2 linked regions of the Caenorhabditis elegans genome follow. The protein of the gene in region 1 interacts with the protein of each later gene in a pairwise test. Each region holds a gene or a part of one and is shown on either strand. Other genes may lie near its edges. The genes, in order: spsp-1 and abu-15.

Region 1 (16,145 bases):
AGTTGAAGAAGGTGAAACATTCTGGCGAGTTCCTATTTCACAGTTTCTCTTGGTTTTCATGAAAAATGGTTTATATCAAAATAATCGGCAAATAGTTTTTTATCTTTTGTTTTGAGTGTTCTGTTTTTAAGAAACTATTTTTCCGTTATCATAATTTTTTTTGAAAATCAACCAAAACAATTGTTTGTATATGAACATTGCAAAGCTTCGATCATGCAAGAATCGCAATCCTTTAAAAATCCATGTTTTGTTAATTAAATATTTTAATTTTTTATGTTTAATCAGATAAAACTCTTTCAACAAAACCAAACCACAATTTCCTGAAACATGGAACAATAATTCATTTTCTCACGTTTACATACTAGATCATTTTCTAATATACTTGATCTTTTCAATTTTCCAACCCAGTTTCTAGTTTTCAATTTCCCAAAAGTCTGCAAATAGAAGGACCAATGAATATTAAATCAGTTCAAATCGGTGACGTTTCCCAGAGTCTTTGCATCCTCCCACTCGACGCCAAACTTGTATGTAGCAATTATTTGCTTTATTATTACGGAGCTTGAAAGAAACCAAAACCAAATGCTTTTCATCTTAAAGAGATAGAAAAAGAAAGCGAGTCGTAAATAAAAAATGAGCTGTATGTAATCTTAATACTAGTGGAGAAGAATGGGTAACTGGGGGTAAACGGACCGCTTCGAAAGTGTTGTGCTCTCGTATAGTTGAAGAAACGGAAGGACACGTCATTGCAAAATACACGACACTACCGCCGACATTAATCCCATTTTCCTTCCCTTTGATCGGCAACGACGAAGATCGTCTGACTCTGCTGAACCACACGGAATTTGAATGGAAAAAAACAGGAAAAATATTAAGAGGGCTTACGTCACAAAACTAGTTGTTTAGATACTCAAATGAGACATCATTTCCCATTAAAAATGTATGTACATGAAGACACGAATAACTAATCAAGTTTTTTGCAGACGTTTGCGTCAAAATCACGTTGACTCAAGGAGCCAAGACACAGACAAAGTCGTCAAGAGTGATAAAAAGTGAGTTCAATTATTTCCTATAAAGGATACCGAGCGAAAATGTACAAGGTTTATCCAGACCGACATTACTTTAAAATCATATTAAACAATAGTTGCTCTTTGAAATATGCTCTTTGAGCAAAAAAATCATACACTAAAAACTTTGTTAACATTTCTGAAAATTCAAAAAAAAGGCATTTTAGTAAAATCGAAAAATTTTGTTAAAACTACATGGACCACAAGTTTCTTAATGCTTTAACCGTACACATTCCCACTCGAGACGAGTCCGTAAGCGTCGAAGAGAACACATTTTCAACTTATTTTTACAGATACATGTTCTGCTGTTTACAATGAAGCTGTCATGTTCCTCTGTGGAACATCAAAGAATGATCTGGCACAAACTTCAATTGTGATTTCGGTACATGATGCTCAAAGGTAACATTTTAATTTGAGACCGCAGCATAAAGTTAATTAATTATTTTCAGAACTTGCACCGGAGATGACACCATCGGATGCGCCTATCTGGGTATTGGAGCTGTTGATAAATCAGAAATTGATCAATGGAAAGGAACAACAGAGCATCTTGGAAAAGAGTATAAGGTGAGTGCAATAACTTAAGTCAAACACTTTCAAACTGTATGCCTGGTTTTCGGTATTGGCTTCAATTTTCGAAGTGAATTCGCGGTGTGCGTTTATTCCCACAAAATTTTATTCACTGCATGTTTTATCTTTAATAATTACATTTTGATCTTATTTTACTGTGCGACGTTACTAATTTTCACATCTTAAATCAACTGTGAATAGTGTTTTTAAACATTACAATGCAATTTATTTTTCAGGGAAACCATACACTAAAAGCTCCAATAACGGCTCCCCCTGTTCATGTTGCAGAAGCAAATGATGATGTTGCAGCGGATGATGATGATTAAAAGAGCACTAATCGAATCTAGCGACTTTTCAAATTTCCTTCCACACTCTGTAATTACCTTGTAATCCTCCTATCTTCTCATTTCTCAAAACTTTGTGATCCAATTAGCCCTCTTCCTATCCTCTCCGATCTCAGGAAGATGGCACCCATCGGAGAGAGTAACCCTGTCATTTTATAAAACGATTCATTTTTCCCATGTAGCCAATTAAAACGACGCGGCCAACCTTGGAATTCATCAACCAGTACTGTGCCAAAAAAAAAACAAAAGTACTAAAAATGCATTGAATCTTTTTCTTATCCCAAAAGTTTTCGATCGAGGCCAAAAAAACTTATCGATTTCATTGATACTTGTGTGTGGCTTTCATTTATTTTTGTTTCATATCGAACTAACATTTTCCCAATTCATTATCATCTATGAACATTTTGCGGTAATTTTTTTTCTTCGAATTTTTTTTTTGCAGATGGAACTATTGAATTTTAATCATAAAAGGACGAGTAGCTTCTACAAGAATCATTTGGTTTGAAAGTAACAAGAATGCAATTATTTGAGAATAGTTAAATAGTGATAAAAATCTAATAATTCAATTTCTTGACAATATAGTCTCTTGCGGCATGAGCTGAGATCTTTTGAATCGTTTTACCAAAAAAAAATTCCCCACTGGAAAATATTTTTATACAACTCGATGTTTTTATTTTTACCGGTAGAAGAGTTATATTTGAAAAATTGTAGTTAAAGTGACATAGGCTTCCCTTAAAAGAGAATTTTAAACAACTTCCTTTACAATTTTGTTATTGTAAGAAAACTTGAAATTACGTTTTGGAATTATATTTATGGAAAACAGATCGTAATGTATCTCTTACTATAAGAAAAGTTATTATAATAACTTTCGAATGGCTGATTTAATGGATGAAATTGGAATTTTTTTTTAATTTTCAGTTTCTCAATCTTACCCTGCTAGAAACTAATAATTCGATAAATCGTGTGAAAATCCATGATAATGATGAGTGTTACCCCCTTCTCATTGCTCATAATGGTGTCAAATGTCTTCATGGAAGAAGCTTCTGCTAATTTGTTTATGTAAGGGAAATAGTGAAAAGCGGCCCTTCATTGAATTGATGGTGTTATCCCTTTCACGGGTACTCTAAATCATCTTGACCCGCCATATGCTCTCTCGATTACGATATCATTTCGAACCGAGTCGGGGAAAGGACCCTTGAGGCTTAGTATGTGTGCATGTTCCTCTGTTTGTATGCACATTGTGCAATTGGTGGTCTCTGTTTTTTTATGCTCAGTAACTTACGGTATTCAAGGATTCTTCCGAATATTTTTAATTTTTAAAGTTTTGTATCATGGTAGATTATTTCTCTTGTATATTTTTAGCATTTAGTTGTGAAGCGTCTCTCGTGTGCAAAACTCGAGTAATATGATGTAAAAAACCGCGCGAAAAAACTAATTTTCTTTTTTTGGGAGTCCATTTACTACCTCACCACCAGTTTTTTGTCTTTACTCTTCACTTTATGGCTTTTCCTTTTTTCAATATTCTAACTTTTTTTTAGGTTTTCTTTGTCAGTAGATGCATATAAAGTCGTCATGAAGTTGGCGGAGACTCTGAAATTTGGAGCTCCATGGGTGTGTTTACTATTCTCAATAGGATGGATATTCTATCAGAATATACAGATTAATGAGCTTCAGGTGATTTATTTGAGATTGGTTACCACTTCAAATAGTACAATTAATTCAGATAAATCGACATAAACGAGAACTTAACTCAAATCGGCTACCAAAGACTGACGATGACTCGACAATTTTTATGCCAATTTATGCACAAGTTTCAGTTAGTTTAATTTAATTAATTTTATTAGTCCTTGAAAATATCAGACCAGAGCTATTCAAAAATCTAACTTTTCGAGTTTAGCGAATTGTTCACCAAATTGGAAATTGCCAAAAGTGTAGAACTCGATTTTTTTTCAAAATCGGCGAGAAAAATCTAAATTATTACCGAAACAAACAATCCTCCTCGAATTTCAGAAAAAGCACATTCGTAAAGTTTGCATGGAACATTTTCATTCTCTGAAACACTACAGAGAATTGGAGAAAAAAGAGCCATCTCGAGTTTCTGCAGTTGTGAAGGAATTAAAGAGAAGTATTGAATGATTCATGATTCCTTCAGAATTTTCCATTTCGTTTCAATTCAATTTTCAGAATGCTCCGCCGAAGTTTCATTAGGGAAGCCGGTTTTTATTGGTGAACGAAAAAATTCAGAAGGATGTGCTTATTTGGATGGTGGTCACTGGCATGTTTGTGAAATGTCACATGGATACACGATGCTCTCTTTTAAAGGAAATCGAAGATTGAATAGCTCAGAAACACGGGCGGTACAATTTCTACCGTATCCGTTTGATGGTACTGTAAATTTTTTCAGTTTTTCACTTTAAAAAATTCGGTCTCCGCTCTCGCCTGAACCGAAATATTTTTAATAAATTTAGATTTTTTTAATCTGAATTAAGATTCAAACATCCATAGACTTCATTTTCAGTCTATTTTTAAAGTCCCGTTTGGCAAATTTAGAAGACCCATTCCAAAAACGTCTCAAACTATATTTTCAGGAACCGATAATATGGTCTACAACAACACAATGTACTACAGCGAGAACGATCGATTGATTTCATACAATTTGAAAACTGAAAAATCGAACTATATACCTTTGAGAACTTCTTTGGTACTGACCATAATCGCTATGGGTATTCTTAATTTCAAATGTTTAGAAACCTCTCTACGCAAATTCTACATCTCGGCTTGACGTACAGGCAGAAGAACATGGAATATGGGTGCTCTACAGAAGACAGGACGAGACGGTTCTTACAGTCAGTCGAATAAACTTCCACACCATGCAAGTACGTTATTCTCTGCGTTCTCTATTGTTTCGCGTATTACATCTCCTGTACATCATGCTGTAGTCTTTGAAAAAACGTTTTACATTTTCCTCGGAGTTAAATGAAGAGAATATCTGCAGTGCAAAGAATAATTTTTTTTTAAATTCACAGTTTTACTTCTGTATGATTAGAGCACAACATCAGTTTAAAAAAAAGTTTCTCGGCGAAAGCCATCCGCATAAATGCGCTTCTCTCAAAAAGCAAAACATTGTTATTTCAGATAGTTTCTAATTGGACACTTCCTTCAATTGACACTTCAACAATGTGTAATGCGTTCGTCAGATGTGCAATTTTATACTCTGTAGAGTGTGATGGAACTGTGACACCTGTCTATGACTTTTATAGTCACACATATATTCAAGGAAGAACTACAGAATGGGAAGGACTTTCTCAGCCAATTTGCAATGTACAGTATGACCCTAATAGCAAATCAATTGCTGTTTACGCAAATGCAAAGATCTACAAAGTTCCCGTACAACAATAACTACATTATCATAACTATCAGTAAAGTTTAACAAGCTTCAACTTTTATCAACAATTTTTAGAACACATTAAAATTTATTTTATTGCAAAAGTACATTGAAAAACAAATAAAATCACATTCTCCTTAATCCTCTACTTTCATTTGAATTGGAAGAAGATGTCGAAGATAACCAATTACTTGTCGTTTCTAAGAAACTTGTTTTCAAAGGTCTAATCAAAGACGGTTTTCCTTTTCTTAATTGAAGAAAAACTATAATCGCCACCAGAAGAAGGCCAATTCCAAGAGCCACAAATTGTAGAACCCTCATCAATCGAGGCACTAATACAAATCCGAGCCATACTTCATTAAAAATGAATTGGTGATATTTCGGTGATGTATCCTGCCAGAACAGTGGAATCATAACATTTGGCATATTTTGACTACTTCTGAAAATAGTTTGAATTTTTTAAAATTGAATTGTATTTAACTTACGGAACATCATGAGATCGAATGACTGGCATATTCACTTGAAGACGATTTACAACTTTTAATGTTGTTCCACTATACTAAAAAACAATTATTTCCAAACTTCAATGTCCAATTTAAACTGAACTCACAGGTTCATGGTAATAAATCATTGGCTCATGTAGGCTTTTATTGGGAGCCATTCCAACTACAGTAGTCCGTACTTCATCTGGAGAGAACAGGAAATGAGGAGGAGAATAAACAACGGCAAATGGTGTTGGTTGAAGTCTTCCTGGATAGCATACAAGTGGAAACATTCCAGGTGGTAGAAGGTATGTTCCATTATATAGGGAACCATCACAACATGCATGACAGAAATTAATTGACTTTGAACAATCAATAGAGCCTGATTGATGACATTGACCTTTTCTGAAAATCAAAAATTTATAATTGAAGTTTCTCTTTTTCACTATTATGTATTGTTGAATTAAATCATATTTTCAATCAATCATTTCGATCGATCCCCGCCCCATTGGGTCCCGGATGTCTGTCACTCTCTAACTATCTACACTCTCTGTACCGGTAATACTATTCGTTCAGAAAAAATCTCAATCTTTCAGGAAATCTTAAATCAAATTTCAGACAAAAACTTATCAGCTTTTTTTTCAGAAAAACTCCAAAATTTTTGCTGCAAATTAAGAGAGTAAAAATTATTCGAAAAAAAACTTACGGTGGACATTTTGGCCAGTCAGGAAAATAGTTTCTCTTTTCAATATTTCGATAACGGAAGCCCACATTGTTATCAGATGTGGTGTCCCATTCGTCGTACCCAATATGATAACTGTGAAAAGAGGATTATTTATTTGTTTTGTGACAACTAACACACCCAATTGTTGGAATTGACTCAATCGTTTCCCTCTGGTAAAAGGTTTTTGTGAATGATCGGCACATGAATGAAAAGAACATATCAGCAGTTGATGACTCGTCCAAGTGCATTTGAGTGAAACTTCCAGAATCTTAAAATACTTTCCTTTTGAATGTGTTTAAAATAAATTGCATTAAAGTTCAATAAATTCAATTCAATTCAATGCGAGATAATGGTCAACTCACCACTTCCACGAATACTTCTAGCCTTTGGAGTAGTCCACCATTCCCCAGGAAGTTCTGTAATTCCAGCCCATCGCTGAACATTTCCTATTTGGTTTATATCTTTCTTTCCCGTTTCAATCCAATATTCCTCATCTCTTGAGTTGTTATACTGAAGATATATTCTCAATTCGAAATATAGTTCCCGATCAGAAATTAGCTTTCAAAAGAATCTACAAACCCCTTGAAAATATCCAAATTTCGGCATAGCTGGAATCGGAATTGGAACGATACTTCCACCATCTCCTTTGAATATTCCTGATAAAACTGTCACGAACTAAAAATTAGATTTACAGCTACTTTTTTTAAGTTAAAAAGTTACCCCTGAATGAGCAGCGGACAGTAAAGCATCCTCGTAACCGTCAAACAGAACTTCACGAACTTTATGAGAACTGCAAACTTATTTTAAAATAAGTTAAATTCGGTGAAAAACTTACACAAATGGATATTCACCAAGAATTGTTAAAGCCACTGCAATAATTGTTCTTCCCGTTTTTGTGATTTGGAATTGTGGATCTAACATTGAAGCAACAGCCCCCTGAAAACAGACATGAAATCAAGTTGAGGCGCCACGTGCACTCGCCCGCTAATCTATCAAAACTCACCAATCCTGGTGGATTCGGAAAAACAATATTTCTGTCCCAGTCACAATCTTCACACGAATAATCTTTTGATAAAATATACTTTTTGTAATTTTGATAAAACATTTGTGATTTATCATCACTGAATTCCAGATATTTTTTCTGCTCACTTTCCCTTCAAATTCGGAATTTAATTAACATATCTATGAGGAAAATTCAACTTACATTACAGAAAATGGACCAATTTCTACCAAATTTGGTGCAGCAGAATAGTATTTCACTTCGTCTGGATTTGTAACATTAAAAAAGTAGAATTTCATTATATTATCCACTTGAGGACTTGTATATTGAAATGCAGAATATCCTAGACTGGTATCAGAATTTTCAGTTAGTTGTAGGTTCTGATATCATGCAAGTTTAGGAATTAACTTCACTTTTCACGGGAATACCTTTATGACCAGAGTACTGTAAATTGAAGAGAATGCCGCCCAAGTAACAATTCCAAACACAATAAACACAATTGCAATAACAACTAAGAATACATCTAGTTTATTTATCCGTATCCGAAAACCCATTTTCTGAAAAAAAAAAAGAAACATATAAACCAATTGAAATTATCAAAAATCGATTTAAAACAGAGTCAGAAAGCATGTAAATATGCTGTCTATATGGTTTACGTGGCTTATCAGACGAATTCTTTATTATCAGCAGCTAACTATATTGTCGTACATTGAAATGCCCTGGTTATCAATGGCAGAAAACACGTTAGATGCAGCTTCAGGTGAATGCTCAAAGAGTTTGCACTGATCGTATGGGTCGAACTATACTCCAGAGATTCGTGGAGATTTATTTTTTTTTTTAATGATTCATAAAAATTGATGGTTAAGAACCTATCGTAGCTACAATAGAAATTCTACACGGTCGAGGCGAAGAGTGGGCGTCAGGGGGAGTTTGTCAGTATAAACTTTAGATGTAGTAAAAATGTTTAAATGGTTAAACAAAACAGTTTGAAATTTGAAAATTGTTCTAACTATCAATCAAAGTTTTGAGTTGATTTCCCAATTTTACTGAACTATTAAAAGTGTACAAAATCTTCAGATGTTTTGAAAAACTGTTCACACCATTGAAATAATTTCGGACATTTCCTACTTGCTGTAATTCATTGTTATTTGTTTTAAAAAAATTAAAATTATAAGCTGTTACCTCTCTAAATTTGAAAACTTAGTTTTAAAATTATCAACTAGCTCTAGCGGTTCTATCGTTCATATTTTTAAAAGCGTCTTCAGGGCGAAAGGAATCGATTTTTTAGAACGTCAACGGCCAATGGGACCAAATAAAGAATTAATCTCAAATTACTTAAACATATTCAAATCATCATTTTATTCTCTAGAAAATCAATCAGGTGATATCATTACAGAGATCAATCATTTTTCAACACTATGTGCACGATCCTTCCACAAATCATTGTACTGGCGACCAGTGTCAACTGCAAAAAAAAATAGTTTTTTATTACAATGACTCAAAAATCGTACTCATGGCATCCGATACTGTCTCTCCAAGCTCACGAATCGATGAATCGACATCTCCGGATGAAGATTTTCTAGCTCTTTTCGAAAAAGAAGATCCCTCATCAGTGAAACGAACACTTTTCGAGTTAACGGAAGAAATAGATTCACGACGCAAAGGACGTTTTCGTGGGCTATTGATACCTTGAAATGAGTAAATGAGTTAAAGGTGATTCAAGATAAAACTACCTGGAGTATGCTTCTTCATCGGTGTTGGTGGTGGAACAGGTTTGAATCTTCCACGAAGATCTGGATGAGCATTCATCAGAGAGAGAGCAACAAATGGAATTCCGTCAACCAAAAGCTCAAAAGCTTCAAATTCTGGATCTTGTGCGTATTCAGCAACAAATCCACGAACTGAAATATGATCAATTATGTGAACTTTCAAAACAATCTCAGGGCTCACCTTGATTACGAGCAGCTGGATTCTTGATAATTGCAAACTTTTGAACTGGAGGAATATGCTCCTTCTTTGGTAAAGATTTTCTCGAAAGAGATCTTCTTTTTTTCATCGGAGATTTCTTCAGAATGCTTTTACGACTGGAACCTGGTGATTTGTTGGATCTATTGCGTCGACTCTCAATTTCAGCTTGCAAAAGTCTTCTTCTAGCACTTTGCGAAATCTTGTTACGGTTCCCAGAAGTGTTTCCAATTTTCGATCTTTTGCTTGAAATAGATCTTTCAGATCCTGTTCCCGAGAATCCAGACGACGAGCTACGAGGAAGCTTGCTTTTAATTCTTGGTCTTGATTTACTGGAACTAGTAGTTGAAAGGAACGAATCAAGACGAGAACGACGGCTTGATGATGGAGTAGTTCCAGTTGACACGAATGTAGAATCAGATTCTCCATCATAAGAACTACCAACTGAAGAGAGAAGTGATGAGAGAGTATCTGCCTGTAATATTTATAATTTTCAAAGTTGTTAGAAAGTTTCATGCCCGGACAGAAAAAACTACTTACCTCATTGTGGCTATTGTTCGAGTTAGACTTGGCCATCGATGGTTGTTGTCTATTGAATCGAAATATTCGAGCTTGCAAAAAGTTTTAGTTTCGAGTACTGATTTTCTTTTGTTTTTCGATTCGTTTTCCTCATCGATATTCCAAAAAGATAATTTCAAAGGCCAAGGTCACGAAAATATTATTTCTAAATAACTTTTTTTTCAAGTATTTGATTTTTATTCCAATTCGAGAACTCTGAAAGATTTTCCAGGCCTGAAAACTTTAGTAGCGCGCCGGACCTATAGCCGGATTAAAAACACGCGCCTTTAAATATATCAGGGTACGGTAGCCGGGAGTTTCTAATTTTGCGCACTTTACTCACCAGCAACTCATTTTTTCGAGGATTTTCGCCTATCGTAAGCATTATATTTGTTAGGTTTTAATAGTTTCAAATAATTAATTTTCTGTGTATTTCAGTTCTATTCGCAAAATGATTTGGGAGATCCCGATTATCGGCGATTTCATCACCAAACCGTTCAAAGCGGCGAAGCTCTACGAATTTTACGATCGACTTCACCTTTTCACAGTTTATCTTCTCGGATTCTTTGTTCTACTCACTGGTGCTAAACAACATTTCGGAAATCCAATCGATTGCATGCTCCCGAAGCAACATGATGGTTTCAATAGCGTTAATTTTCATAAATTAATCTCAATTTTCAGATCTGAAATCGTGGCGCGACTACATTCACAATTTCTGTCTTTTCTATGGAACTTTCCGATACGACGTGAGCAATGGAACGTCTGAATTTGGAAGTTACACTGAAGATGCATCTGTCAACTATTATCAATGGGTTCCTTTCTTCTTTGCATTTCAAGTATGCTGCTTTCTTCTTCCTTTCTGGTGCTGGGCATACATGCAAAAGCTTATTTGTACGAGTTATTCTTCTGTAGAGTAATATAAATTTTTAATCTTTCAGACATTGACATGGCTTTCATTGTGGATTACTCTGGAAAAATCAACAGCGAGAAAACGTTTGAAAAGACGAAGGAAAAAGTGGATCGAATTGTGAATTATATGCATGATCACTTCAAGTTCCGTCGTGCCCACAAAATGGGATATCTATCGTGGATCACATTTAACTCAGCTTTTCCCAGTGTCTTGTACAGTCTCACAAAGTTATTTTTCATAACTAATGTGATTATTCAAGTGAACTTGGTTTGCAAATTCTTGGACGTTGATTCGTGGACTTGGGGTTTTGATGTGAGTTGAGCAAGTTTTTGATATAAATTGAATGACACTGATAATAAAAGTATGTCTTTTTTCTATTTTCAGCTTCTCGGCAAATTCATTCACCCAACTCCACGTGCTCCCGAGTTCTCCTCGTTTTCCGACAAACAAAGATTCGCGGCAATTCTCACAGACGGCAGTTACAATCGTTTCCAGTACTTCCCAATTCTTGTGGGATGTGAATATCAGTTGCAAGAATCAGTTAGCAACTTTGTGAATCATAAAGCTCAATGCATTATTCCGATGAATGTGATTAACGAGAAAATTTTCATTGGGCTTTACTTTTGGCTTCTTGTGGTACGTTTTTTCTCCTATTGGCCACGATTTTCAAGAATATTTTCAGCTCACCGCGCTCTCGGTAATTGGAACTGTTAAGTGGATTCTTCGTATCAAAAGTAAGAAGCTCAACGAGGTGATGATCTACAAATTGATCAAAAAATCATTGGAACGAGAGCCATTCGACAGTAATATTCATGATCACCGCTACAACTTTGTTCACAAGTACCTGTGTGCCGACGGAATTCTTTTAATTTATTTCATGATGGATACGAATGGATTTTTGAAAACTGAAGAAGTCATCGGTGCTCTTTTCAAGAAATATTGCTCAGACGCTGGCCTTGAACCGGTTGGTTTTTGATAAATATTGTACTTATTCTAATATCCCACTAGTTGCAGACCGCTCCAACTCTCACTTCAAGTCCAAGAGATTTGGCTTATTCAGGTTAGTTTTTCAAATGTCTCCCTTATACATATATTTATTCCAGAAACCAATTACGGATTCGCTGCACCGCAGAAGATTTAAGTCTTTTCAACAGTACACCATAATTTCACAAAGTATTCTGTCTAACATGTTTATCTATTGTTTGCTCCCTCTTCTTTCTCAGGTAAAGTTATTATTATAACTGTTTTATTCATTCATTTTATTATTATCATATACAAAAAATGAACCTGCAACCTGATTTTGAAAAGTTTTTCTGTTTTGGTGAATAATGCACAAAAAGAAGCATAATTAGACGTACATAAGAAAAAGTTTGCTGACCGAGAATACTGATTAAATTATATTTTGGGTGCCTATAATGTGATGAAAAATTATGCAAAGAAAACCAAATAAGAAATGGGAGGATGAAGGCACAGAGAAGGAGCTTGATAATTATGGCCAGAGAAAAGTGAAATCACAGTTTTTGGTTATCACAAAGAATATTAGAAGAATAAGAAGTTTGGGGTCAAAAGTCCATCAAGATTGCTGGATTTGAAGATTTTTCTGATTTCAGCTTCTTTGAGAGCGAGAATTTCGATTCTTCTGAAAAAGAAACGATAATTTTTTTAATCTTTCAAAAATAAAAAAAACAGTTATAGCTTTTTGGGTAGATTGCAAAGTAAAGTATTTTTCAAAACTTACTGGTTGGATGGAAATGTCGATGTCCTACATAATGAATGAAATCGACTAGGCTCTGCCGGTCCTTTGCAGTAACCTCGAATAGTTTAACTTTTTCTCGTGCAGCCCAACTATGTGCAAAAGCACTGTCAACTGTCGCCGGTCGATCTCGCATATTGGCAAGGACTACGATTGGAACTTCTTTCTTATCTTTTCCAAATTGTCTGTCTATCCATTTTTTCAGCAAATCAACTCTGTTAAACGATTCGTAATCAGCAGATGAATACACAAGAACAAATGCGTCTGCAGCTTGTACATATGCCTTCTTCAGTTCAATCGGTCCGTAATTTGAAACTCCTGCCGTATCGTGCAATATAAGAATCTCTCGAGCTTTGTCCGGTTCTTCCAAAAGAACTTGATATGTGTCTTCGATCGTTGGTTCATATGGCTGAAAATTAGAAATTTAGAAACCGAAATAATTATTTTTAATCTTCGAACCTTATTCGTAACATCCTCAACACATGCGACTTGCCGCAGAATAGCTGTCTTTCCGACTTTTTTTCCTCCAACTACAACCACCCGCATTGCTCTCCCCATTCGCCGGCTTCTAGCCGGTTTGATTGAATCGCTTCGGAAGGTTCGAACACCTTTTTCTTCCGATCGTTCCACAAATAATGGACGCTCCAAGTCAGGATCAGCGACTGTACGGTAACGGCCTTGATGATTCAGATAATCTTTTTCTGAAAGTTTCTTGTTAATCATTTAATGAATTTTTGGTAGATTGATGCCTATTATGTTTTGAATTTTAAAAATCTGTAAAGTATGGCAGAAACATAGATTAATTCATTTTTCAGGAAATATTTTTTTAAAAAAGCACCATTTTCTTCATCAATACTCATATCTCTTCTCCAATTCACATTGGTTTCCAAGTCGAGAGCAGCCATTGATTGTGATATCGGAGCAGCCGCTTTCAGATATTTTTTGGGTTTGTTTTTGAATTTCATAGAAACCGTGTTTCTTAGTTTAGAGTCGGACATGACTTGATCCAAAAACAATAAGAATAGCTAGGGAAAAGAATGATAATATGGTAAGAAAAATGCTTGAAACTAAGTGGTGCATAGAGGGAGGAGTGCACATGCCATAAAAAAGTGATAAGAGTTAAGCACAGAGGACGCTGTTTGATTTAGACGATGACGTGGCACTGTTTAGGTCATAAAGTGGCAAATGGGGAAAATTAAGAGACTTTCTCATTTTTTTTTGGATAGAAAAATCTGTCTTTTTTCAGTTAGTGGTTCTCACTGTAATGAAGTTTTCTCTTAATTTTTAGATTTTATCTTGCACTTTTGTCTTTTTAGTTTTTGAAATAAAACTGGGCGAAATTCTAATAACCTACCAACACAAAGTGAAGTTTTTCTATCTGCTTTGGCGGCGTCAAAGAAGGTCGCGGCTAACGAGAATCGACGATTTGTGGCCTGCAAATTTAATTAAATTTCAACGATTCCAAAATTGAAATACTATAATTTTTGTCTTTATATTGAAAATCACCTTTTTGTGCAAATTTCGATGCATTTTAGACAATCGCGGAGGGGATTGATTTTACAAGAAATAAGGAAAATGTTTCTTTTTTTTCCAAAAACTTGATTCCCATCCTCTTTATAGCCGATATTTATTTACAAAAGGACCAGGATTCAATATAATATTCTTTCTGCTGACTCATATTCCTATGTTCTCACCTTTTGAGGGACGTCTAGAGATGGAGTCGATGTGGCGTCGATTCGTGAAAGTGCTCGCGGAGTTACTCCGAGTGAAAACTTCCGAGAACTCGGACGGATCCAATTCTCTGAAAACATTTTATGATGATTTCGAAAATATTTTTTTTTTTGCTTCGAAACGTTTTTGTTTCAAATTTAATCGCCTCGGATAAAAGGGATTAGTGGATTTCTATTCTATTTTGATCGGATAACTTTAGTTTTTCATTGAATTTATGCCGAAAGCTCCCCTTACCACCACTCATTTTCCAGATGAATATGTATGTTTTAAACGGAAATTAGGAATAGTTTAATATTAATTACAGGTGGAAACACGATGACTAGACGACGATCGTCCGAATGTTTGTGTGCTTTTTGCTTTACAGCATTGATAAAATGTTTTGAATGGGTGGATGAAAATAATAGCACAATAGACGGGGTGGAGACGCAATAAAGCACCTGTGGCTGCTCTTTTGAAAACGAGAGTTTATTGCAATTTGATATTCAGAAGAAATATTTATTCTGGGAAATTGAATTTTTCAGGTGGGAAAACTACGAATTCCGAGGAATTAATGCAATTCATAGATAATTTGGTTTTGATTCAAGTAAATAAAATGATTTACCTTTAAATAGATAATATAGAAACTCACAAGAATTGGACGCGGAACCAAAGAATCGAACTCGCTTATTGGTTAAATTGTCGCCAACTCGTATGCATCTTCTGTGAAATCTCGTCGGCGTGTTTGCACATTTACCGGTTTTTACGTGTTTGTTTTTCAATTTGAGCATTTTTGAGCAAAAAAAAGCTCTAAACCGATCACGGAAAAGTCATTTCAAACTGGCTTCTTGAAAGATTTATAAAGTGAGTAAGTTGTGGGTTTTTGAAAAAAAAGTCTAAATATATTGTTAGGAACTTTATTGAATGGGCTACCCTCAAAATCCTGAAAAGAAATTCTGAAGAGAATAAAGGTTAATTAACATAGAGTGAGAATAAGTGAAACAAAATTGTTTTGGAAACGAAACATTGTCTCAAAAATGAAAACATTTCCATGAAGGTCATGAAAATATATTTTCACTCTCTTCGAATCTAACGCCTCTGAATTTAATACGAGTGTTCAATTTTATAATCTTCCTTCCAACATCTTTACAAATATGATCCTTTTGTTCATATTTAAGTTTTGTTTATTAAATCACATAAACACATTAAATTTTCAAAAAAAACTCCAAGACAATCATTGCCCTCTGATCATCTCATACCTACTAAACTTCTCTATCTTTCCATCTATCCTATTTGTCTTTATTTTGCAGTTTATATTGCCTTTATCTACTACTGATAACGCATTCGTCCGACCCGATACTTTTCTTTTTCACTACTCTAAAATTCTTCTTTTTTCTTTGACATTTTCCATACAACTATTTTTGTTTTCAGGTATGAACCAACTTTGTCGTGCTGTTCCATCTCTTCGTTCCGCTGTCAGATTGGCCTCATCTGGTACGTATTTTTTCTTTCATTTTCTGAAAATCATCTAATTTTTGCCAAATCAAAGATTGTTCAAGATCAAGCAGTAAGAAATACTAAAAAAATTTAATTTTCAAAGTATTTTATTAATTTAAATTCGGAAAAAAAGTATAACATCGAATTTTTTGATTTTAGGTCGTCTATACACGAAGAAACATGAATGGG
Region 2 (16,170 bases), on another chromosome or scaffold:
AAAAAGAACCCATGCATATGAGCCTGATTGGAAACAATGGGTGTATAGAAAAATAATGGATTGAACAATTAGTTGCATTTCATATAATAAAGTGCAAATATCGAAAAATGCAATTGCAGCCATAATGATGTTGACAGATGAGTTTATCATCGGTTTTCTGGTGAGAATTATAAAATGGAATAGGTTTATTGAAAAGCTCACAGCTGCTACTCGAGATTCATTTTCGAATACTGTGTTGTAATAAGCTCTGAAATAAATCTTTTTAAATTTCACCCTTTTTTTGGGTTTTCCGGTTATTCCAAAAAAAAAAAAACGTTTGTCTCTACAACTTTATCTTGAACCAATCAAAGGCGGAATCGTATCTGTGAGTTTTTTTTTGAAAAAGACAGAAAATAGTCTCAATATACCAAACTGTACAGCGATCGAAACGTTAAAATTTTATGATAATTTTCTCTTTGAAATTTGGTAATTTCGGCACATTCCAAAACACAAATGAATATTAAAAACGAATAAAACAAACCCCAATCCATCAGCAATCCGACATAGAAACAGGGCCGTTGATGTTTGAATATTTGGATAAAAAACCTCAATTTGACTACAAAACGACATGTCTTGTTGAGCCATGGCCTTAGACTGAACATTTCATATATGACATGTTCATATATGACATTTCATATATGAACTCATTCAAAATGTTGTCGATGCCAGGTGGTTCAAACAAATTATATTAATTTGAAAATGTAAGACCACTTGATTGAATAAATTGAAATATGACAAGTAAATAGTCGCTTTTTTTTCGAACATCAGTCAGAATAACTGAGACAAGATTGAGTCATACATAGCTACGCTGAGTATTGCTAATTAGCAAAATACCAGTGCTAATTAGCTGTTGGTTTTTGGTTATGATTTTTTTGTTTTCACATATTTGAATCCTATTGCGTATTTTATTTGATGTTATTGTCATACATTTGATAACTGTGTGCCATTAAATTTTACAATAGTATATTTTTGTCACAACCATTTTCAGAATTTTTTCCAGAAATATACGGTAATCGGAGTACGCGCTTTGCCACGTAGAAATTTGATTTTAAAACTTTCAAAATGAAAAACAATTTTAATTAATATTAAAGAAAACATTGAGAGACGTCAATGTCTATACTTTTTCAAAAAAAAACACTTCCTTCTAGTAACCTTACAATAACATGTGCTCTAGTTTTCTCGCTGGCGCTACTCTACCTTTAAAAAATATACCCACAGACGAACAGTGCATACTTCAAAGCACAATAATCACGACTAAAATTGTGCAGGTTATTAATATTTGAATCACAATTCTTTTGCGCGTATTGAGGCCATTATTAACGCAAACTAGGCAGATTCCAAACGAATGCCAGACGATTTTCCGTTTACTCAAGTGTTTTAAAAGTTTCGATGCACATGCACCAGTTGAACGGAAGTTTTTTACCAACGCTTTGGAATGTTTGCTCGGCGGAAAGAGGGCGGAAAATGAAAAAGAGTTAGAAATCAGTATATAAAAGTGAGTCTGCAAGATAGTTTAACCATCCGATTTCCTCTGTTCGAATCATTACTAAAATGCGCTTTACTTCACTTGCCATTGCCTTCCTTGCATGTGCCCTTGTGGTATCTGGAAGTGTAATCCGTGAAAAGAGACAGTGTGGATGTGCTCAGCCACAGCAGAGCCAATGCTCGTGCCAACAAGTTCAACAGACTCAGTCATGCTCGTGCCAATCTGCTCCAGTTCAACAACAATCCCCATCCTGCTCATGCGCTCAGCCACAACAAACTCAACAAGTTCAGGTACAGTTCATTAACATATTCGCAAACCATTAAATCAAAAATTTTAGGTTCAATCTACTCAATGCGCCCCAGCTTGCCAACAGAGCTGCCAACAGCAATGCCAGGCTTCTCCATCAGTGTCCCAGTGCCAGCCACAATGTCAGCAACAGTGCCAGGCTCAATGCACTCCAATGTACAACCCACCAACCACTACTACCACCACCCAAGCTCCAGTTGTCCAATACCAACAGTGCCAACCAGTATGCCAACAGCAATGTCAATCTACCTGTGTTCAACAACAACAACCAGCAGCTCAATGTCAGCCACAATGCCAACAACAATGCAATGTTGCCTGTGATTCCCCATCCACCACCACCCAGGCCCCACAAGTGATTCAAATTCAACTTGAGATCCAACAAGCTCAAGCTCAATGCCAACCACAGTGCCAGCAACAATGCCAGTCCTCATGTGTCCAGCAACAACAGCCATCGACCCAATGTGAGCCAGCCTGCAACACTCAATGTTCTGATATCTGCCAACAAACTGCTCAGGCTACCCAACAAGTCTACAACCAGAACATGAACCAGAACACCAACACCCAAATGTACAACCCATACAATACCAACACCAACCAGAACGCTAACTGCGCTCCAGCTTGCCAACCAGCCTGCGACAACTCCTGCACATCCCAACAGGCCCAGCCAGTGTACCAACAAGCCCAGCCAACTTACCAAGTCCAGCAAACCACTGCCGCTCCAATGTACGATCCATACAACAACCAAGGATCTGCCAACTGCGCTCCAGCTTGCCAACCAGCTTGTGACAACTCCTGCACATCCCAGCAGACTCAACCAATGTACCAACCATACGACACCACCACTGAAGCTCCAGCTCAAGTCATCCAGATTGTTCTCCAGACTTCTGTTGCTCAATCATCCCAATGTGCTCCACAATGCGAACAGTCCTGCCAACAGCAATGTGTTCAGCAACAACAGCCAGCTGCTCAGTGCCAAACTGCCTGCCAATCATCATGCTCTAACTCCTGCCAAACTGCTCAACCAGCAACTACTGCCTGCCAACAGAGCCCACAACAGAGCTCCTGCTCCTGCCAAGCTAACTACTCTCCATGCGGAAATGGACAATGCTGCCGCAGAAAGTAAGAAAGACCGAATCGATCGATCGAAGATTTATGGGTATCAATAGTCCATTGTTGCTCAAAATCTTTTTTGTATATTTCGAACACCATTTTTTCTTTGACTATATGATAAATAAATCATTTTCAATTATTCTACAGTATACAATAATAGACAAAAAAATGTTGATAGACCTGTACCAATCTAATTCGAATGTTTTGTTCTTCAAATTAATGATATACATACTTTACACGTAATCGAATAAACAGAAATCAGAAAACGTGATGATTAATCTATTGTTCTCTAGTTTTGATCAGTTGGAGTGGGCGCAGAAACAGCTCGTAAGCGTGAAGAGCCTCTTTTCGGGTGGGAAAATGATCTTTGCACAATTGCCGACGGGGCAAACAAATATTACGAATAGATCAAAAAGTTACGCCGATCAGCTGGAGAGATATGGTGAACACTTTCACGATACTATTTTTAAAACGAGTTTAATTCGTTCATACAAGCTTATACGAGTTTACTGTTGAAAGGTTCTACAGTAATCAGAGAAATTTCGAGTTTAACAAATAATGAGACTGACAAATATCTTCTGAAACAGTTTCTAGCAGATACAACTAAACATTTTTTGTGTCATATTCATCGAACGCCCTATCAACCTGATAAACATATTAATCTTCCGGGAAATAATTTGATAGCGTATTTATTAAAGTTGCATTACGTTTAAACTTTCCAAATTTCAAATTTCAGAAATTGCATACAAATAAGAACAAGAGAGGATAACAAATTATGTTCAACCAAATTAAAATGAGAAACTAAAATTTCAAAATAATTTAAGTATTTTTCAAATCGAAAATTATTTTTCTAGAACACGTATTTTCTCAAATTTGGCAAATAACACATTTGTTGTCTACATTCTTCCCAAGCTGTCAAATTGCAGCACGATATAACAAGTTGTCAGTTAGAAACTAAACGCTCACTTGTCTCAACTTCATAACCAGTCATTTGTAAATTTTAAATAAAAAGAGGTATAGTTCGCCACCGATAGAATAAAAAAAGATACAATAATTTCAAAATTTCCATAGCAGTATAGATTTGAAGGAAGGCCGCAAGCTGAATAAAACCTAAAATAAAATATTTCCGAAACTTTAAGAAAACAAAACAGCGTTAAAAATTCACTTCAGATAAACGATTCCGTAACATAATGTAGATCAAGGAACATCACATTCCAAAATTAAAGTTTCCAATTTGCAACATACCAGTTTTCACCTTTTTCCTCGACACACGTTTGTTTGATTAGAGAGTTTATTCTAATGCTCACCGCACCTTTTTTTACACGAACACTTTTTTATAAGGCAAACAGTTTGGCCGGAAAGAGAATGAGAGACACATAGACGAAAAGTGAACGGAAGAGCGGAAATCAAGAAGTTTCAGGTCTGGTACAGAGGGTGGGGGTATGGGAAAGTAGTATAAAAGAGAAGAACAGAGCTTCATTATCATCCGATTTTCTCGGTTCGAATCATTACTAAAATGCGCTTTACTTCACTTGCCATTGCCTTCCTTGCATGTGCCCTTGCGGTATCTGGAAGTGCGATCCGTGAAAAGAGACAGTGTGGATGTGCTCAGCCACAGCAGAGCCAATGCTCGTGCCAACAAGTTCAACAGACTCAGTCATGCTCGTGCCAATCTGCTCCAGTTCAACAACAATCCCCATCCTGCTCATGCGCTCAGCCACAACAAACTCAACAAGTTCAGGTACCTTTTATGCATTTATTTCAAACACTACTAAATTAATGATTTTAGGTTCAATCTACTCAATGCGCCCCAGCTTGCCAACAGAGCTGCCAACAGCAATGCCAGGCTTCTCCATCCGTGTCCCAGTGCCAGCCACAATGTCAGCAACAGTGCCAGGCTCAATGCACTCCAATGTACAACCCACCAACCACTACTACCACCACCCAAGCTCCAGTTGTCCAATACCAACAGTGCCAACCAGTATGCCAACAGCAATGTCAATCTACCTGTGTTCAACAACAACAACCAGCAGCTCAATGTCAGCCACAATGCCAACAACAATGCAATGTTGCCTGTGATTCCCCATCCACTACCACCCAGGCACCACAAGTGATCCAAATCCAACTCGAGATCCAACAAGCTCAAGCTCAATGCCAACCACAGTGCCAGCAACAATGCCAATCTTCATGTGTCCAGCAACAGCAACAGTCCAACCAGTGCGAGCCAGCTTGCAACACTCAATGCTCTGATATCTGCCAACAAACTGCTCAGGCTACCCAACAAGTCTACAACCAGAACATGAACCAGAACACCAACACCCAAATGTACAACCCATACAATACCAACACCAGCCAGAACGCTAACTGCGCTCCAGCTTGCCAACCAGCCTGTGACAACTCCTGCACTTCCCAGCAGACTCAACCAATGTACCAACAATACGACACCACCACTGAAGCTCCAGCTCAAGTCATCCAGATTGTTCTCCAGACTTCTGTTGCTCAATCATCCCAATGTGCTCCACAATGCGAACAGTCCTGCCAACAGCAATGTGTTCAACAACAACAGCCAGCTGCCCAGTGCCAAACTGCCTGCCAATCATCATGCTCTAACTCCTGCCAAACTGCTCAACCAGCAACTACTGCCTGCCAACAGAGCCCACAACAGAGCTCCTGCTCCTGCCAAGCTAACTACTCTCCATGCGGAAATGGACAATGCTGCCGCAGAAAGTAATTTAATTGTTCCTGATTCTTGATTTTTGTATATACCGAAACAATTCAGTTTCAATAAACGCATAACTTTTTAAAAAGTGTCTTCCAGAATCTCAAAGTTTTCACTGTATAATGAAAAGTGGTTCACAAACTAGCATAATCATTACTATCGGAAACAGTGAAATATTATTAAAGTGAATGCCTGAAATAATAATGTAACGAGTATTGCATATCAAGATACCAGATTGTCTAAAAAAGTAAAACTAATTTTAATGAAAATGGAAAACATTTTTGATATATCGCTATAAAGTTATCACTCGCAAGTATTATCAGAAAAAGTATGTAGCAATTTTAATTGTAAGCTAAAATAAATTTTAACTTCTAAGGTCGTATTACATTTTTCGTAATGAAGGAACAGTGTGGTAGTGAAACACGTAAAGTCGTGAACCTAAACGATTTGAAACTAAATTGAATTTAAAATACTTCATCAGTGAGCTTTTTTTTTTTAATCTCTAGTTTCTAAACTCCTGCTGGCGAGCTAGAAAATTCTTGTAAATCTAACTTTTCTATAAATATTTCTTTGATGAGAGCATTTTTCAATGAGTACAGAAATAGATAGAACATACGTAAACCTGTATCAATGCCAACTGAACAAATGTTTATGAGATTTTCTAAAAATGTAGTCGAAGAAGAGACGCTAACAGTTTTTAAATAAACATGTTGTGTTTCGAAAACAACTGGTTTATTCTGGTTATTTTTATGTCACGTCAGATTTTTAAAGCGAGAAGGTTTAAAAAGTTATGCGTTTATTGAAACTGAATTGTTTCGGTATATACAAAAATCAAGAATCAGGAACAATTAAATTACTTTCTGCGGCAGCATTGTCCATTTCCGCATGGAGAGTAGTTAGCTTGGCAAGAGCAGGAGCTCTGTTGTGGGCTCTGCTGGCAGGCAGTAGTTGCTGGTTGAGCAGCTTGGCATGAGTTAGAGCATGATGATTGGCAGGCAGTTTGGCACTGGGCAGCTGGCTGTTGTTGCTGAACACATTGCTGTTGGCAGGATTGTTCGCATTGTGGGGCACATTGGGATGATTGAGCAACAGAAGTCTGGAGAACAATCTGGATGACTTGAGCTGGAGCTTCAGTGGTGGTGTCGTATGGTTGGTACATTGGCTGAGTCTGCTGGGAAGTGCAGGAGTTGTCGCAGGCTGGTTGGCAAGCTGGAGCGCAGTTAGCGTTCTGGTTGGTGTTGGTATTGTATGGGTTGTACATTTGAGTGTTGGTGTTCTGGTTCATGTTCTGGTTGTAGACTTGTTGGGTAGCCTGAGCAGTTTGTTGGCAGATATCAGAGCATTGAGTGTTGCAAGCTGGCTCGCACTGGTTGGATTGTTGCTGTTGCTGGACACATGAAGATTGGCATTGTTGCTGGCACTGTGGTTGGCATTGAGCTTGAGCTTGTTGGATCTCGAGTTGGATTTGGATCACTTGTGGGGCCTGGGTGGTAGTGGATGGGGAATCACAGGCAACATTGCATTGTTGTTGGCATTGTGGCTGACATTGAGCTGCTGGTTGTTGTTGTTGAACACAGGTAGATTGACATTGCTGTTGGCATACTGGTTGGCACTGTTGGTATTGGACAACTGGAGCTTGGGTGGTGGTAGTAGTGGTTGGTGGGTTGTACATTGGAGTGCATTGAGCCTGGCACTGTTGCTGACATTGTGGCTGGCACTGGGACACTGATGGAGAAGCCTGGCATTGCTGTTGGCAGCTCTGTTGGCAAGCTGGGGCGCATTGAGTAGATTGAACCTAAAATTTTTGATTTAATGGTTTGCGAATATGTTAATGAACTGTACCTGAACTTGTTGAGTTTGTTGTGGCTGAGCGCATGAGCAGGATGGGGATTGTTGTTGAACTGGAGCAGATTGGCACGAGCATGACTGAGTCTGTTGAACTTGTTGGCACGAGCATTGGCTCTGCTGTGGCTGAGCACATCCACACTGTCTCTTTTCACGGATTGCACTTCCAGATACCACAAGGGCACATGCAAGGAACGCAATAGAAAGTGAAGTAAAGCGCATTTTAATAATGATTCGAACCGAGGAAATCGGATGGTAATGAAGCTCTGTTCTTCTCTTTTATATGACTTTTCCAGCTGCTCAGTAAACCGGTTCCAGTTCCTAATTTCCTGATCCTCTTCTAAATGTGACTCTCTCTTGCGGCCGCGCGCAAAAGCGTTCGCCTAAAGCTTCAAGTAAGCTATCGAGTCACTAAAAAACTCCGAGCTAATACAGGAATAAATTGTAGTATTGCGCAAGCAAAGAAGAGAGGTCTTGTTTGAGTTTGCTCTATGACCTTGTTCACGCAAGGTTCGCACATGAGAACTAGTTTTCAAGGGCAAACAGCGATAAGCAATCTATTTTTATAAGATTTATCTTTTAATTTTGTTTAAATTTTTGAACCGTTCTAGCTAATCGAAAATCAAAAGAATCAATGAACCACATAGACACGTAGACATGTAAGAACGACAAATTTCGACTCTAATTTAATTTACATGATTTGTCATGCATGACATAAGTTGGTTTTCAGACCCGAACATTTTTTCGATTTGATTGTATAGAGCTACAGTGGTTGCTGCCTCGCTTCTGGGATTTCCTAGCTTCCGGGATCTCTAGAGTTTGAAATTTTAGTTTTGAACTCACTTTGAAACACATTTCAAAGTTTAAAAAATTAGGTATAAAAACATTTAGTTAATAGCCTAACGGATTTTTTAAAAATAAATTGTATCTATGCGAAATGTGAAAGAAACTATGTTTGTATTGTAGCTGAACGCCACCGGCCCAGGTGACTCGAGCCTGACAAGAAAGTTTCAATTTTTCCAGATATTTCTCTCTCATTCATAACATTAACTTTTTCATTTCCTGTTGGCTGCAAATTACAATCATGATTTCCGTGACAACAATCTCTGCAATTATGCTTTTGGTAAGATTTTATTGTAGCTCAAACAAATTGATGTACCTTCAGTTTTCCCTCTGTGGATTTACAATAAATTGGGCAATTGTGATTATAATGATAAAAGTTACAAAGTTGCAAAAACCATTTGCAATTTTAACTGTTGGTCTAGCGATTGCTGATGGAACATTTTCCGCGCTCTACTTATTCTATGCAACTCCAATGGTATTTTTGTAAGTTGAACAAGTTTTTTTTTTCATTCAGCGAGGCCAACAGTTAAAATAAAAATTCCATTCAGCGAGAGCGATATTTTATCAAATTATTCGAGTGTTTGTGGATATGTTCTTATGATTTGCTACAGTGCTTCAACAACTTTTCATTTCATGATATCCCTTAACAGAATTCTAGCAGTGTATAAACCAATGCTTTATCGTATGATGTTTAGTGTTTTGTTCACGTTTTGTATAGTAATGGGAATTTATTCCTACGCACTTACAATCATAACACTATTTTTTCAAATTTGTAGGTTAGTTTAATGTCAACTAAAATTGACGGGAGAGTTGCAGTGGGATGTCAAAATTTTTATGACCAAGAAACAAGAGCATTTCGTTATTCTGGAGGAGACGTTTGTCGTTTTTATGCAACTTATTTAGACTTTTATCTTGTTTTTTCATTGACTATTTCCAGTACTATTTTGGACTTTTTAGCTATCGGAAAAGTGTTAAAAATTAGCTCAAAAACAGAAAAGCACTCAAAAGAACTTAGCTTGTTGAAACAGGTAATATTGATCTTTATAGATTGTTTTAAATAATAATTTCAGTCCATAAGCCAAACTCTATTTGTTCTTGCAATCGTTTGTAGTTTTACTTGGGGTCCGCGTTTTATTCCAGACATTGATTACACCTTTATTTTCTCTTCTATTCTCTGGTCTTCAGTGCATATGTTTGATGGGTAATTGTAAATATTCTAAATACTCAAAAAGTTCTAATTTAGGTTTTTCACATTGATTTTCAATCCAGAAATCCGAAGGAGCTGTTCCAGAAGCGGCCAGCCACTGGCATTCAACGTTGTTAGATCGAAATCGGCTGCATTGGATTAAGAATAGAGGTCTTTGTTAGTGGAATTGTAATGCTCAAGCCAATTGTCATTGTCTAGGGTTTTAGGAACTGAGTTATTTTTATATCATGAATTTTGGTTCAGAACATGTGCTTGTAAAGAAAAAATATGTACATTTTAAATTTATGATTTGCATGATCAAAGTCACATTTGTTCCCATCTTCTAAGAACAAGCTGCAAGAAAATCATCAAAGTGGAAAAAAATCAAAAAAAATCGTAAATATGGTACTTTGTGCGTGCTCCAATGGTTTTGTTCCTTTTCCTTAGATAAATTGTACATCAATGTATAGTTTTATAAGATAACCAAAAATGAATAGAAAATGCAAAAATCAAAGCAAAAAATCTGGTAATTGCGCCACTTATTTGCCAGCTAGTTTATTAAATTTTAATTATATGGAGCACAAAAAGGATTTCTGTTTTTATCACCACGGAAGTTTAATATTTTCATATTAGACTTCCAATTTAAATTTGAGTATGAATGAACTCCCAGTTTGAATTTCCCCCAAAATGAAAACAGTAAGGCCAATCAGTGATTCGTTCCTCCCACTCTTCTGGAGCCAATCAGATAAACTGTGTCAAGTTGATTGGTTCAAAAATGAGTGGAAGGAAATTAATTGGAAGGGAATTCAAACTTGCATCCTTCCCAAATCTATAGTATATATAAAACAGTATTTTTGAAACATCCATTTTTAATTCTTTCTGAATTGTTTCTTGTGTGTGAAACCAAACAAAAAACTAGAGAATATTTAAACTGTGTGGGGAGACGATTACACGTAAACAAGAAAGGGTGGTAGTTAATTGTTCTGTTAGGGGTATAATAAACGATGAGTAATACGTACATTAGGAATTTTCTCTGAACAACATGAATTTTATTAAATTTTTTTTAACAGCTTAAATAATATGTCTACGAAAAAATCTCCAATACAAACCTTAACCGATTGAAAAATCAAAACATCTCTACCTCACTCTGTCATGCACTTCTATTTAATCAACTCAGAGCTCGGTTCATTGCAGGTACTCGTTAAATGGCAGGTGTGGCACTGACTCCACCCAATAAATAGAAGTGGATTGAGGTCAAAATATCTATTGGTCTAGGATACTTGTTTTCTGTTTCGAAATATGATCTCGGAAAAAATAGTTGCTGCAATTATGATTGTGGTGAGCTGAAATTCGAACTTTTTTTCTCCAACTTAGCAATATTTTTTTCAGTTTTCTTCATGCGGGTTTTTCACAAATTGGGCGATCGTAATATTAATGATAAAGGTTACAAAATTGCAAAAACCATTTGCTATTTTAACTGTTGGTTTGGCAATTGCCGATGGAGTATTTTCAACTTTATACTTGTTTTACGCAACTCCTATGGTGTTTTTGTAAGTTTTTGAATAAAACAATATGTCGGGCAAAATTGAATAGGTATTTTTTTTGGTTTTTCCAAAAAAATTTAATTTGAAAATGTATACATATAATCCAGTTAAATTGCCTTTTGGGCAATCTTACAGAAATGTCTCGAATTTTATAGAAGTTCCGTATATCTACATAGTAGTGCGGTAGTTTCTCAAAGAAAATTAAGTTTCCCGCCAAAATTATTTGAAAAATTGAAAAAATCCCGCTGAAATGTTTTTTGCTACTCGACGACACTCCAAAAACCCCATATCGATATTCCTTCAAAAAACAAAAACTCATTTTTTTCAAAACTACAGTAACCCTACAGTACTCCAGTCTACAGTATTCCTACACATTTTCAGCCAAAACGAATTCCTGGACTATTGGTCCCATCTATGTGGGTACTTTTTGATGATATGCTATGATGCTTCGACATATTTTCATTTTATAATATCATTAAACAGATTTCTAGCAGTATTTACTCCAGTTCTTTATCATAAAATGTTCAGTATAACATTTACCAAACTAATTGTTATGGCTACCTACTTACTTTCGTTTATACTTATCACTTTGTTCTTTCAAATTTGTAAGTTTTCATATTATCAATTAAAAAAACCAAGTCATCTTTTCAGTGGGCTGCCAGAATTACTACAACGCAGAATACCGAGCATTTCAATATTCCGGTGGGGCAATTTGTAGTTTGTATGGAACTTATGGGGATTTTTATCAAGTTTTCACTCTAACCATTACCAGCACACTTTTGGATTTCACTGCAATTGGGAAAGTGGTGAAAATGCGGTCGAAATCCGACAAAAACTCGAAAGAGTTGAGTTTATTAAAGCAGGTATTCACAAAAACTGTTTTCATAAACTAAAAAATATATTTATTGAAAATTCCAGTCCCTCAGCCAAACTTTATTTGTTCTTGTCATTGTTTGCTGTTTCACATGGGGACCACGACTTATCCCAGAAAAGCAATTCACATTTATATTCTCTTCAATTTTATGGTCATCAGTTCATTGTTTCGATGGGTATATCCCCGTTAAAAATATTTAAATTTTTAAAATATTAATATTCAGAATATTCACACTGATCTTCAATTCGGAAATTCGCAGAAAAATTAGTTCAACGCGGCCCACAGTCATGGTCGTGAGCGCTGTGAGGTCAAAAGCCACTACAATTAATTCACTTCGTTAATTGTGTTATTTTAAGCTAATATTTAATTATTCTTTTTTGACAATTTGCTTGTTGATTGCTTGAAAAATAACAATATTTATTTCCAGAACAGCACGGGTTTTCTTTCAAACTTCACTATTTGTATATTTTTAAAATAAAATTGATACGAACACATTGAGTTCCAAGAAATCAGACCAGCCGGATTCCCAGTATTTTATGTTACTCATGATTTAATTCTGATCATTTTCATAGTCTGAAGTTTTTTTTTTCATTCCAGAATTACCCGTTTTCTTGGTGTTTCGATCTGTTGGAATAAGAGCCTAACACTATTATAATCATAAGAGTTAATCGGAAAAAGTGGGTTCAAGTCTGAGTTCAGTTAGCAAAAACAAATTCGACAATGGGCAGATTTTCTGCTTTTCCTTTTATATTGGTTAATACAAGTCGTACAATTGTTTTCAAATAAAAAACCAAGTTACATTTGCCCCAATTTTTAAGCTTTCTGGGATAATACTTTTTGACCGAACAAAACAATCAAAATTTGTTCTCTGAACCACGACAGGCCAACCTTGATGTTTGAATTTATTTCCTCAATCACGTGGAAGATAATTATATAGAGCTTGAATTATAACATTGTGACAGCATTACACCACCTTCTCTTTCTCAATAATAAGTTGTGTCAAAGAAATAAGAACAAATTAGATTTGCGTTATAGTTCTGGAAGTAGCGGCGAAGCAAGTTTGACGTACATTTTTATTTTCTTTTTTTAGATGGGGCATTGGTGTTTCCGTGGATCAAGTAAATGCGTTACTTTTAGGATCTCTGAATGCGTTTTTCAGAACAAAAAATATTAGAAACTGATTTCGGTAGTTGTCGCAGGTGCTGAACCTCAAAATTTTTAGCAGCCGGCATTTTCTGTTGTTGTCAAACACTTAATCTTTCGACAACCAGCAACTTTTGGGCAACTGTCCCGACTTCTATGTAAAACATCTCAGGTGTACCCAGTGAAACAGACGATATAACAGTTTATTTCAAAACTTTTCACTTTCAAAAGATTATTTTAAATAGATACCCAACAAAATTTCAAGCATACCATTAAAACCTATTGTTACTCACAACAACAAATGTTCCATCCATGTGTACTGCGCTTCTATTGACTTTCGTTTTTATATAGGTGAAACCAAGCATTTTCAAAACAGCTTTACGATAAGGTTTATGAATGGTAAGCATAACTGCACTTGAAATGAGTCCATGAAAAGCCATTATGTTGAGCGAAATGTTGTTGAGAACTGAAATTGTATCTTGTGAACCAATGTGTGAAAATATAGGTGTACTTACTTTGATCAAAATGACTATTTGCAAATGCAAAAACAATATAAACAATCGGAACAATTACTATTAAAAGTGGAATTGTAATTTGAATAGTTAAACAAATAAAAAAGTGCAATTGAAGCTTATACGTTTTCTGTGATTTAGCTTTTGTGCTGGACAAATATACAACAATTCTCGTAAAATAAAATATAACTTCACCAGTTATCACAAATGCCGCAGAGCCGATAATGAAAGTGAGTAGAGTGATTTCTATGGCGTACACGTAAAAATCCGGATGATCAAATATTTCTTGAGGCAGACACGGAAGCATCTGAAAGCTGCTTATAAATAGTTAAAGATTTTTTAATAAAATTATTTCAAAATATGTTTCAATGGTCTATTTTATTTTAGGGTTCTACATGTAAAAAGAAAGCTGGCACTTGCAGCGAGATTTGACCAATTTCAGTAAATTCTAGCTTTAATAAATGTTCATTAGTGTAATGAAACTTTATCTTCAAAAACTTTTAAAACCTTTTCTTTGAAATTTCCGTACCAAAATGTGCGGGAATCCGACGTTTACAAATTACCCTCAAGCATTAAAGATACCTGTTTTACATATTGCTTTCCATATGTCTGATCAGGCGGTGTAAACGTGATTGGCAGAATAAAAATGAATGCATAAATATAATGTCCACCAATATATGCCAAACGTTGTTTTTCCTGAATTAAACTAGCGCCGCGTCCTTTTACAAGTGCAGCGTAACGGTTTTCAAAAAATCCAAGAATCGAAACACCAGCAAGACAAATTGCAGAAATGAACATATAGGCTTGCCATCTTACGGGCATTCCTAGGTGAGTATAGACTCCTTGAGAATGTCCAGCAGCCGCCGGGAGAAGGAAAAACTGAGTAGAAAGAGCACTTAGGAATAGGTCAAGGTAGGCTCCGCTGAAAAATTTTAGTTCTATTTAATTTTGCTTTATATCAATTTTGAGATTCAGTATTTACCCCATTGAGGATACTCATTTTCTGATTGAAAGAAGCAAGAATGTTAAAAAATCTGATTAAAACTTAGGAATCCAATTTATAGTTTATCAGGTTTATCAGGAACTGCAATTTCAAATCATTTTCCAATTACAAAGTGTCAGGTTCTGGAAGTTTGCATTGACGTGTCCCCGATCAGAGAACATATTACATGTACCGCAGAAACATATGCCTACGGGATTTACTTATGTGAGTGATCACTTTCACTTCTCACATGCAAAATCAATTTTTAAATTGAAAATTGTTCGGTTGATTCGAAGGATACCCAAAATTACAATTTTTGCTATCAAAAATATCTACTTTTTTCTATGTAGTTCAAAATGCTCCTCTCGAGTGATGTAAATTTCATTCAGAAGCCTGGGGTACACTAACCATATATGCATCGTAAACATCATCCATTTGACCGAGCCCATTCTAGAAGGGGTTTTATACAAAACCACATAAGCAGAGAGTAGATGAATCGGCAATTCGAATACCGCAAGACGATGTAAAATTGATGGTGCAAAGGATTCAAATTCATAAGAAGAGTTTCTCCAAAGACACATTAATAAGAAAATTTAGGCTTAGGTTTTGCACCGTGGAAATGAGAAGTGAATTGTCTCAACCGCCATATAATCATTTCACCTGTTGGAAAAAACATGATGAGAAACCAAAACCTTCAACGCCAATGAATAATTGAGTTTTAGTTTGAATGTTTTTAATAGAAAACTACGCAACAACATTGCAGCGGCCTGGGAGGGACACGTGCTTAAAGGTGGAGCAGTCAAAGTAGGGAAAATGTTTGAAAATTGTTCTATTTATTTTTCCATTACTGGCATTCAGTTTTTAATTTTCTGTTCATTGATTTACAACGAGTTACAATGAAAACAGGTGATCACTGAAGCTGAGGAAAAAAACAATATTTTTTCGGTTTAAATTATTAGAAAATCTAAAGTAAAAACCTCAAAAAATCTTTATTAAAAAGCCTGCATCTATTTTTCTTACCGATTCATCTGCAATTAGAACAAAATTGATGGGTTGTTGTTTGCATAGAAAAAAGTACCTGAAAATCTTTATAGATCAATAGAAGTGTTGTGGACGGAACGTAAACCTGAACTTTATACAGACGTGACCTTTGGGTCATCATGAACTTATCGCGTAAGCGACCTCTCTTTATAATTCATTACTTCTTACACTCTCTTGTAATAAACTTCTTCTCTCCTTGTCACTCGCTCAATACACAACAGTGGCGATCAGGAATATCGAAATCACACCAGGACAATGGAATCGTCAGGTAAATCATCCGCTAACGCAAATTTGCTTGCTGAGACGCTCACAACTATGCAAGCCCAACTCCAAACTCAGACTGAGATTTCTCAGCAGGTCATGGAGGACAATAAAATCCGATCGGCGTTGCTGAAGCAACAGATGGAGATGTCGCAGGCGTTGCTGGAAGAGAATAAGCGGCTGCGCGCGGCGCAAGGGGATCAGCCTAGATTCGTGGCTGGGGGTGAAAAACCGCTAAATAGCGTAAAACTTATGAGTGACTTGTTGCGTCAGTTACCC

Evidence for each region.
Region 2: the proteins of spsp-1 (region 1) and abu-15 interact in a two-hybrid assay, tested with the Caenorhabditis elegans proteins (one large-scale study listed by BioGRID).

The regions. Positions count from the first base shown.
Region 1 is NC_003279.8:7,346,469-7,362,613, reverse strand, and holds spsp-1 (uncharacterized protein), read right to left. Parts: upstream 10,200-16,145; 5' UTR 10,108-10,199; coding exon 10,072-10,107; intron 10,007-10,071; coding exon 9,517-10,006; intron 9,468-9,516; coding exon 9,300-9,467; intron 9,255-9,299; coding exon 9,078-9,254; intron 9,032-9,077; coding exon 8,970-9,031; 3' UTR 8,911-8,969; downstream 1-8,910. Other genes in the region: sue-1 (C2 domain-containing protein), read left to right, coding at 981-1,049, 1,358-1,463, 1,514-1,628, 1,868-1,957; F07A5.4 (Olfactomedin-like domain-containing protein), read left to right, coding at 3,548-3,649, 3,699-3,791, 3,986-4,100, 4,160-4,360, 4,564-4,676, 4,723-4,851, 5,111-5,374; scav-6 (SCAVenger receptor (CD36 family) related), read right to left, coding at 5,487-5,799, 5,846-5,919, 5,971-6,247, 6,549-6,659, 6,705-6,834, 6,929-7,076, 7,146-7,241, 7,287-7,356 and 4 more; inx-14 (Innexin-14), read left to right, coding at 10,541-10,727, 10,771-10,980, 11,028-11,311, 11,384-11,635, 11,682-11,963, 12,008-12,059, 12,103-12,140; kbrl-1 (NF-kappa-B inhibitor-interacting Ras-like protein), read right to left, coding at 12,562-12,638, 12,738-13,161, 13,212-13,453, 14,107-14,185, 14,447-14,553, 15,085-15,250; gcsh-2 (Glycine cleavage system H protein), read left to right, coding at 15,893-15,953, 16,116-16,145.
Region 2 is NC_003283.11:5,150,180-5,166,349, reverse strand, and holds abu-15 (Activated in Blocked Unfolded protein response), read right to left. Parts: upstream 7,749-16,170; 5' UTR 7,728-7,748; coding exon 7,503-7,727; intron 7,456-7,502; coding exon 6,514-7,455; 3' UTR 6,443-6,513; downstream 1-6,442. Other genes in the region: srw-140 (G-protein coupled receptors family 1 profile domain-containing protein), read right to left, coding at 1-247, 521-624; abu-7 (Activated in Blocked Unfolded protein response), read left to right, coding at 1,591-1,815, 1,863-2,954; abu-6 (Activated in Blocked Unfolded protein response), read left to right, coding at 4,458-4,682, 4,731-5,672; srx-39 (G-protein coupled receptors family 1 profile domain-containing protein), read left to right, coding at 8,590-8,628, 8,671-8,831, 8,897-9,120, 9,165-9,376, 9,419-9,549, 9,592-9,697; srx-38 (G-protein coupled receptors family 1 profile domain-containing protein), read left to right, coding at 10,834-10,872, 10,924-11,084, 11,460-11,683, 11,730-11,941, 11,997-12,127, 12,176-12,293; srh-130 (Serpentine Receptor, class H), read right to left, coding at 13,368-13,561, 13,611-13,914, 14,190-14,529, 14,998-15,170.